2 linked regions of the Drosophila melanogaster genome follow. The main gene of each other region encodes a partner of the protein of the gene in region 2 in a complex. Each region holds a gene or a part of one and is shown on either strand. Other genes may lie near its edges.

Evidence for each region.
Region 1: Rad9 (region 2) and Rad1 share a complex: the UniProt entries of both Drosophila melanogaster proteins name them as parts of the 9-1-1 checkpoint clamp complex.

The regions. Positions count from the first base shown.
Region 1 is NT_033779.5:2,572,890-2,577,047, reverse strand, and holds Rad1 (radiation insensitive 1), read left to right. Parts: upstream 1-1,995; 5' UTR 1,996-2,066; coding exon of another isoform or gene 2,067-2,172; intron 2,173-2,232; coding exon of another isoform or gene 2,233-2,666; 5' UTR 2,667-2,667; coding exon 2,668-2,772; intron 2,773-2,845; coding exon 2,846-3,565; 3' UTR 3,566-3,612; downstream 3,613-4,158. Other genes in the region: insv (insensitive), read left to right, coding at 403-411, 476-1,597; Sws1 (SWIM domain containing Srs2 interacting protein 1), read left to right, coding at 2,067-2,172, 2,233-2,666; Cyp309a2 (cytochrome P450 309a2), read left to right, coding at 4,039-4,158.
Region 2 is NT_037436.4:18,869,315-18,874,090, reverse strand, and holds Rad9 (Rad9), read left to right. Parts: upstream 1-1,537; 5' UTR 1,538-1,606; coding exon 1,607-1,640; intron 1,641-1,696; coding exon 1,697-1,923; intron 1,924-1,977; coding exon 1,978-2,129; intron 2,130-2,237; coding exon 2,238-3,093; coding exon of another isoform or gene 3,094-3,195; exon of another isoform or gene 3,196-3,238; coding exon of another isoform or gene 3,239-3,310; coding exon 3,311-3,412; coding exon of another isoform or gene 3,413-3,477; intron 3,478-3,530; coding exon of another isoform or gene 3,531-3,663; intron 3,664-3,720; coding exon of another isoform or gene 3,721-3,783; 3' UTR 3,784-4,046; downstream 4,047-4,776. Other genes in the region: Uggt (UDP-glucose-glycoprotein glucosyltransferase), read right to left, coding at 1-729, 913-1,141; Blos3 (biogenesis of lysosome-related organelles complex 1, subunit 3), read right to left, coding at 3,239-3,477, 3,531-3,663, 3,721-3,783; Grx1 (glutaredoxin 1), read right to left, coding at 4,119-4,214, 4,280-4,384, 4,445-4,588. UniProt on the Drosophila melanogaster protein: Component of the Rad9-Rad1-Hus1 (9-1-1) checkpoint clamp complex.

The sequences.
Region 1 (4,158 bases), on a different chromosome or scaffold from region 2:
GAGAACTTAAAAATTTAAAACCCTCGTGACTTGCAACCGATAGTTTTATTTCATAGCCCTAGGTGTCAACCCTGTCGATGAAAGAGAGAGCAAAAGCAGCTTTATTCGCAATTATTTATAATAATAATTATAATACATATACTGGTTCCCGCGCAAACAACAAATCCCATGCGAAGAAAGGAAAAGACAGCTGGACTTGGACTAGTTGGGAAATAGACGGGGTCCTGAAACAGAAACAGGAATAGGATATCAGCTACCTGGAGGGCACACTCACACACACGCAGAGGCAGGCGCTCTCTTCCCCGTATATGCGTGCGCATGTGTGCGTGCAGGTAGGAATGCAACCACTTTTCGCATTCTGCCGCCAATTTTCAGTTGACGCAGATCCTTTGAGGATTGAACATGGAAAACGTGAGTAGCTGCAGGATATCTCCACCGAATATGTTGATCAAGAGTTTTTCCCATCGAATTGCAGCAATATCAGCGCATAGTCAGCGCCACTGCACGCGAGGATTCGCAGGCAAGGAGGAGCAAGCCCTTGTTTCTGAATGCCTGGTCGCAGACTTCTAGCGTGGACTTCGAGGTGCTTCGCAGCATCTCCGCGCCGGACCCGCAAGTGGAGGTCGAGAACAGAGCGCTCCGCGATAAGGTCCGCTACTTGGAGGCCAAACTGCAGCAGCACAAGGATCTGCTATCCCAGATTCATGCCACCTCCGCCAGGATGCAACAGGCATCCTCCCTGCTGGCAGAAAGTAGACCACCCACGCCGCCCGCGGTCCAGAGCCACCACATTCTCACGCCACCGAGTTCAGAGATATGTGCGCCCGCGCAGAATCCCCAGATTCTGGACTACAAGATCATCTCGGCACCCGACGATGCGGATGCCATTGAGATTCGCCTGGCGGCGGAGAGTCTGAACAGCCTGAGCACCTCTGCGGACTCAGATCGCCTGGAGATTTGCCTGGGCGACGAGAATCATCAGCAGAGCAATCATCACAATTCCCAGCAGCAGTACAGGATTAGCAACGGCATAAAGAGGGATGGTTCCTCCGAGTCCGCCGACACTCCACTACAGTTCATCAAACGCCGCAAGCTGCAGGAGATTCAGTTGCAGGAAGAAATCCCGCGGCAGAACATAAAACTACCAGCCAAACCCCAAGTCAAAGCCCGTAATGGCAGTTTTACCGATCTCAACAAGGGCCAACAGCAAAACATGGACAACGTGATGGTGTCCATTGGCCCGAACAACACCTGTGTGCCCGCCAGTGTCTTCGAGAATATTAACTGGTCGGTGTGCTCGCTGGCCACCCGGAAACTACTGGTCACGATCTTCGACCGGGAAACTCTGGCCACCCATTCGATGACGGGCAAGCCGTCGCCCGCCTTCAAGGATCAGGACAAGCCGCTCAAGCGAATGCTCGATCCTGGGAAGATCCAGGACATCATATTCGCAGTGACGCACAAGTGTAATGCCAGTGAGAAGGAGGTGCGCAACGCCATCACCACCAAGTGCGCCGACGAGAACAAGATGATGAAGATCCAGAACGTCAAGCGACGCAGCAGTGGCATCAAACACGAAAAGGAGAACATTATTTAGATGTATTAGTAGAAATTTGTTAGCACTTAATCATTAATGACTTAGAATAGCACCAAAAACGGCTGTAATGCCCGCACAAACTCTCACAATCCATAGATAGTAGAGCACTACATCGAACTAACGTGTAGCAGATTTTTAAAGATCTCGAAGATGATTTTACCAATCCGAACCAAAAGTTATTGTGGTTTTATTTACATTTCAGGGGTTGTGCAGGGTAGATAAGGGTTTCTGCATAAAGCCTTCATTCTTTAAAAAGTTGAAAAGAGTAAATGTCCCAATTCGAATTAGATAATTGGCGCGAAATTCATTTACCATATAAGGCTTGGAACTGGTCACCCTAATAATTAAATCACCAATATGCAGCGCTGCCAGACTTTTGTTCAGAACAGCTGTTGACGCCTGACGACTTTTTGGCGGTATTGTTTATAAACAAAATTCACTTAAGAAACTGGATTTAATAATGTCCTGAATGGCGTCCGAGTCAGAAAACACTACATCCTATTTTGTTCCGCATCTGGTTGATCAAGTCTTCGAATTATATCGGAGTAAAGCAGAGTCCAACAGCCTTACAAAAGGTACGAGCTATCAAATCAGAAAGATTCTGTAGTAACTACTCTGGATTTCAAACTTTTCAGAGGAACGCGGACAGTTCTTTTACGATCTATCCATTTTATTGGGCCAAGAACTGGTCCTGCGATCGCTACACCTCTTGGACGACCACAACTTCTCCTTCTTCCACGCCAAGAACAATCGATCCGTGTGCGTGGTAGAAATTTCCAAGGGAACCGAGTACTTCCGCTTGATTCCGGGCGTAAGTTTCTGCAAGTGTGAGTTCTTCCAGTGCCACGTGCTGCAGTTGCCGCGAGGCATCCTCTACCAGGACCTTCCCAGTGGCGAACCGGGCATTTTAGAGGATTGGAGCGAGGAGAGCCGGGTGTCCTACACCTGCCAGCACATCCTGGCATTGCGGCTCCATCAATTTCTGAAGCACACGGGCGGGAAAACCACCGAGAAGATCCTTAAGAAAGAGGATATCAAGGAGCTGCGGACGGACGTCTTTCGGGACTAGGATGACTGATGTGGAGCCATCGCCCTACGGCGACTGCAAATTCGTCGCTCGAGTGGAGCACATCAAGACCTTCATCCAGGCCATCAAGTCAATCTGCTTTAATGATGTAAGGATTAACTCGAACTCTCTTTATTCGTTAACCAACTTAACTCGGTAACAACCTATTGTTTTACCCACAGTATGGGATGGTGCAAGTCTCCGAAGATGGTCTGCGCATCACCGTGGAGCAGGGCAAGTCCATCCAGGCAACGCTTTTCATGCCGCCGGGTGCCTTCATGGAGTTCCGTGTGCAGGACTTCCAGTGCTTCGGTGTGAAAATGAATGTGCTGTCCGAGTGTCTCAGTCTCTTCGGATCCGCCGATTGCAGCCTGCGAATGATGTACAGGGATAAGGGCGATCCCCTGAAGATAATTCTGTATCCGCACGACGACGATGATGTGAGCACGGAGTGCGCCATCAAAACCATGGACTGCGATGAGCCCATTGACTACGATCAGAATCTGAAGGATCCGGATCTTAATGTTATTTTCGTACGCGGACCGAACCTATCGAAGGTGTTCAATGAGCTGGAGAAGTCCGCGGAGGAGTTCGAGTTCGTGACATCGCCGAACCGCCCGCACTTTAAGATCACCACAGTGGGGATCATGCAGGCGGTGTTCAGCGTCGAAGTGGCAAAGACGAGTCCCATGATGATGATGTTTAACTGCAAACAGACGGTGGTGGCTCGCTACAAGAGCCAGCAGATCCGCATGACCAACAAGGCGATGCAGTCGGCCACCAAGGTGGCCATTAAAACGAACTCCGTTGGCCTCCTAGAACTGCATCTGGTAATGCAGGGCGATAGCCAGGAGGAGATATTCATTCAGTTCTTCATAATTCCTTTGCTCAACACTGATTAAACCGAAACTACTAGGTAGCTAATAAAATAGAACTTTAAAATATTGCTAAAATCTTGAAATCATGTAAATCTAATTGAGGTCTGTAGTTAGCGTGTGGGTCAATTGTTAATGCTTCTCATGCAAATATAAGATGGATTCAGCATTCAGTTGAGTACTTAAGGTGGCCTTGGAACGATTTGATATTACTTTATAATACTTTAAATGACGTGGACTCCCGGAGGAGAAAGTTGCATCGCCATTTACAATGACTCTGAAGAAGAGGGCATGATAATGGTACGCTGCTCCAATGAAAACAACTTTATTTGTCAGACAGAACAATAAAGAACATTGAATATGTTTATTTCTATTTGTTCAATGCACTGCACAGTGTGAAAGTAAACAGAACTACAATCGAACAGTAGCTGATAAGTCAGCTATCAATAAATACATTAGGATTCCGCATCGATAGATTTTCCATCCGATTCCGGGCAGCGATGATGCCGGAGAGATTCAGCTTCGACTTCCGTCCGATCGATCAGTACTGGACGAGAGCCAAAGGCGCGTGCAGCAACACGAAACGCGGAAACATGTACATCCTGGCATCGCTGGCCCTG
Region 2 (4,776 bases):
CGGCCGCCTGGAGACCCAAATCCTGGAACTCCCATGCTTTCAATTGGGCGATCTCATCGTTTCCCTGAAGAAGCCTCTGACGCAGTTGATCCAGCGCTCTCTTAAGTGTAGGATGCTTCTGCTTCAGCACCTTGAAATCAAAGCCCTGGACGTCCGATTCATTAGCCAAATCCTCATCAGAAGTGGAACCAGCTTCGGGCTTTGGAGCATCATCCTGACTCTTGTATTCCGTTGACTTCAGATGGAGTTCCACTCCATAGCCCGAAAGTCGTACCGGTCGCTTGTCCTTCTTGGCCAATTGATGACGCAAGATGTAACGAATCCGGCCAGCATTGGCTTCCTTTTCCAATAGTTTGTGATAGGTGCGGAATTGAGAGCTTCCCAAATCGCCGTATAGTACCACAGTGCGGGTATTGTTCTCACTGCCAGGGAAAATGTGATCAAAGCTGTAGGTGACAACAGAAGCATCCAAGCTATCCTTGGCGAGCGGCACTTCCAGCTTCTTCTGCAGCTCGTTAAAGCTGCAGGCCAGTTCGGAACCCACCTGGGCAAAAGTAAAGCTCTGACAAGAGCCACTGCTCCTCAGTTCCTCGGCCAACTGGAAGTGGGTCTGGATCCGGGGCGTCAAGCTATGCATGGATACCACCAGCCTAAGCAGGGGCAATTGGGGAGAACTCACATGGCTCTTGACCAGCTCCAAGGCGGCATTGTACTGTTGCGACTCGGTATCTGAAAAGCGAAAACGTAATCAGAAAAATAAATTACCCTTTGGGAAAAGATCACATTATAGGGCTTTGGGAATAGGTGATTTTATATTCCGAACCATTACTTGATTTTATATGGATTCGATTCACATTGAGGAGAATATAAAAGCTCTTTAATGCGGGTTCTCCATGACTTATAAACACAAACCATATTCGTTGAGAACCGTGTCCAACTTGGTCACCCCCGAAACGTAATCCCAGAAGAGGCCCGCCTGCTCATCGGCCAGATACTCGGCGATTTCCAGATATAGGGGCGTCTGCGTCCATTTCGCGTTGATTAGCGTGGTGATGGGATAGCTCTGACTGGATTCCCCAGAAGTTGGCGTATATAGTGCTATGAGCACCACAGACACACACAAAGCCACGGCACGTAACATGGTTTCCACTTGTTTTAACGTAGATTAAACCACGCACATTACGTATACTAAGCGTAGAGAGGAACTTAAGGCTTTCCTTCTCCAAATATTTTACTTTTCACCAGTTTTCGGCTGGTTTTAGCCCAGTTTTTCTTAATTTGATTTAGAACTGATGTGGCGTTCGTTGATGAACCGGCATGCCGCAGTGTGACCAGACTACATTGGAACTACATCGGGTTGAAGAACTTATTTAAATTTATTTATTTTACGGACAATTGTCAATATGGAAATATTTTGCTTTAAATTATAAAAGAAATTATTGAAATATAAAAATAGTACATACTTACTTCAAAATGCATAAATGGGTAACTAAATTCCTTTGTTGGTATTTTTCATACCTGTTGTGCGACTACTATCACTCTAATTTGTTTGTTTACAAATTTCAGCGCGAATTTCGCGACCAAAAACATAGTGCAAATATTGCCAATGAAATACACTTTAGAGGGCAGCAATGCAAGAGGTACCACATAATAAACAGCAAAATATATTGATAACTAAAAGAATTCATTTTTTAAGTCATCGCCAAAGCCGTACAATCGCTGTCCAAGGTGGGCAAGGAGATGTTCATCGAGATCGACCAGCAATCCTTGCAGATGCGGGCCATAAATGCCACCCAATCCGCAGTGGGCAGCATATCGTTCAAAAGATCCATGTTCGAAGTGTATGACATGCCGCCGCACTCAGATTTCTACTGCAAGATCTCCATGAAGGGATGTTTGGCCGTGTTCCGCAACATGAATGAGGTAAGTTCGAAAGTCTGCTCACTGGGATTAGTTGTTAAGAATATTATGTTCCAGGTGGAGTACTGTGAACTCAACTTGCTGGACAACCAGACCAACCTGCAGGTGAATCTCCGCTGTAAGCTGGAGACCACAAAGGAGGCCACCATTTCCATCATAGACGACCAAAACATTAACACAAACATTAACACCGATCAGATGCCGAATATGTGAGTTTTGGTTTGTGTTAAGGATAACTATTAAGTTTATCTCCTTACCTTATTTCTCTTAAAACAACTATGCCCATATAAATCCGAATTTACTACTCAACATTTCAGAATCCGTGGCGATCACAAGCTGTTGACGGATATATCCAATAACTTTAACTCCTCAGAGGAGGAACTTACTTTGGAGGCAAACTCGGGCAGTGTGGTGGCCAAAAACTACATAGAAGGAGCCCGAGTTAATGATAAGTTCATGCGCACGCAGCTGAAACTTAAGCCCAGTGAATTTGAGCAGTACCAGGTAACGAAGGAGACGGTCATTACATTCTGCATTAAGGAATTCCGAGCATTTCTCCTCTTCGCCGAGTGCTTAAATGCTTCGCTGACCCTGGAGTTCGACGAAGCGGGCATGCCTTTCCTGCTCAAAATTAAGAAGCATGGCGAGATTGAATGCTTGCTGATCATGTCCACGCTATCCCCCGATGATATAAGCTTCTCGGAAGATTATTGTCAAAAGGATCTGACAGTGCAGGATGAGGATGTACGAGCGGCGGCCGCAAAGCGAAAGAGCAGCGTTTCGAAGCCGAATGTGACCAACAAACGCAAAGGCAGCTCTTCGGAACCGGCTGCAGTGCAGCCAAAACGGCGAGTTGAGGAGACCCAATTAGAATCGAGCCTAGATAATCCACTGTTTCAGTTCCGGGACTCGGAGGCGCCATCTGTTCAGCACCCTCGCATCCTAGCCGAGGTGGACACTGTGGTTCTGATTGAAGATGAGGCGGAACAAGAGGCTCTCATGCTGGCAGCCGCGGATGCCGCTTTGGAGGCCAGCATGGCACCTGCTCCAGAGCCGCCGAACAGCACGGAGGTTTGCTTTATCAACACAGACGACTCTCAACAACCTAAACCTGCGAAAAGCTCCTCCGACGAGGACGAAACTATACCCCAGTCACCTGAGCGCCCTAACAAGGTGCGAACCATCTTCTCACGTTGCTTTCAGAGGACCTACGTGCCGCGGGAGCCCTCACCCAACACTCAGGTCTATGCGCCCAATTCCGATACAGAGGATTAGCCTAGATTTGATCGTTTATCAGCAAATACACTATACGTCTAAGTCAGGTTGCCTTCTGGATGCTTATGTGCGGGAGGAAGTTGCTGGTAATAACATCAGCCACCCTGTTTTGCAGGTCCTGGGCGTTCTTCTGGGCCTGCTGCAGGGATGTGTGAGCCGACTGAAGACTATGTTGCGACTTGATGAGCATTTGATCAGTGGTTACGAGCTGCTTTGATGCACTCAACACAAAGCTGCGAGTGAAAGCGGTAAGGGATCTCCAAATGGCAATGTTGTTTTCGACTGGAAAAGGGCATTAAGTTGAAATGTTTGAAGGCACAGAATTGGTGACATACTTAGTTTCCGCTGAAGCAGATTATTCCGGTAAATGGAAGCCGTGCTGTTGACCTGGTTGCTGCTTCGGCCTTGCTCGTAAATGTCTTCATCATCCTCTTCGGAGGCTTCGCCCGAAATTTCAGCAGCAAAAATCTGTCACAAAATGGTTTTATTATTGGACTGTTATTTATAAATGATATCCTCAACAACCTTATTCTTCTCCTGCAGCTCCTCGTCGGATTCAGAAGCTTCACCGCTCACCAAATCAGCCATCATTCAGTTTATTAAATACTATTGTAAACAATTTTTTATTTACTGCAGTTACGGCGCTGCCAGATCAGTTAAAACTGCAAACTGTTGCTCACATGGGCGCAGTTGAAGGGGATATTCTTATGTTTGTGATATCTATGCTAACAGATCCGTAGAACTACAATCATAAAAATTATTAACGGATAATGAATGGTATTAGTAACACTTTGCCCATTACTCAGAAGACGATGTAATCTCAATAAGCGCAAAACATAAATTTTAAAAGCATTTATTAAGGACTTTGAAGATTAACAAACTTTTTACATAAAACGGAGTTCTGAACAGAGTAAGAACACTATTTATTGGAAATATTTTTGCAGAGCTCCTGTCTCGAACATTCGTTTGATGTCAGTGCCACCGCCAATGAATTTGCCATCGATAAAGACGCGGGGAACCTACACAGTACACAGGTTACAAATGATAATTAATCTTTATAATGTAAAATATTTAGTGCACCCACCGTTCTGGCACCGGTAATCTCGCCCAGAACTGCCTGAATTTCGTTGCCATCGGGATTTCCATCGAGTTCTATTATGGTGGCGTCCACATTGAGCTTTTTGAAGGGCTGGAACGCAAAGATGTTTATCACTGTTTGGGACTTTTCAAGGTCTCGCAACTTTCTCACCTCTTTGGCCATCGTGCAGTAGGGACAGTAGGTCTTGCTGAATATCACCACTTTGTTGCTGGCAATGGTGTTTTCAACGAATTTCGCCTGCTTGGTGGACATGTCGACTATTGGGGATCTCAAAGCGGATCCAACTGCACCCATAAGCTCGAAATCCAGGAGGGGGTACGGAAACTTGGGGGGCAATGCGGGGAGCAATGAAAGCTGCGACAAGTGTAAGCTGCGGAGAATTATCTCTAATTTAATCAGTTTTTTAATCATTGATTAGCAATCAGCTGTTGTTGCTCTCGCCAGAGCTGCCACGTTGTGAAATTACCATCTCGTAATCATAA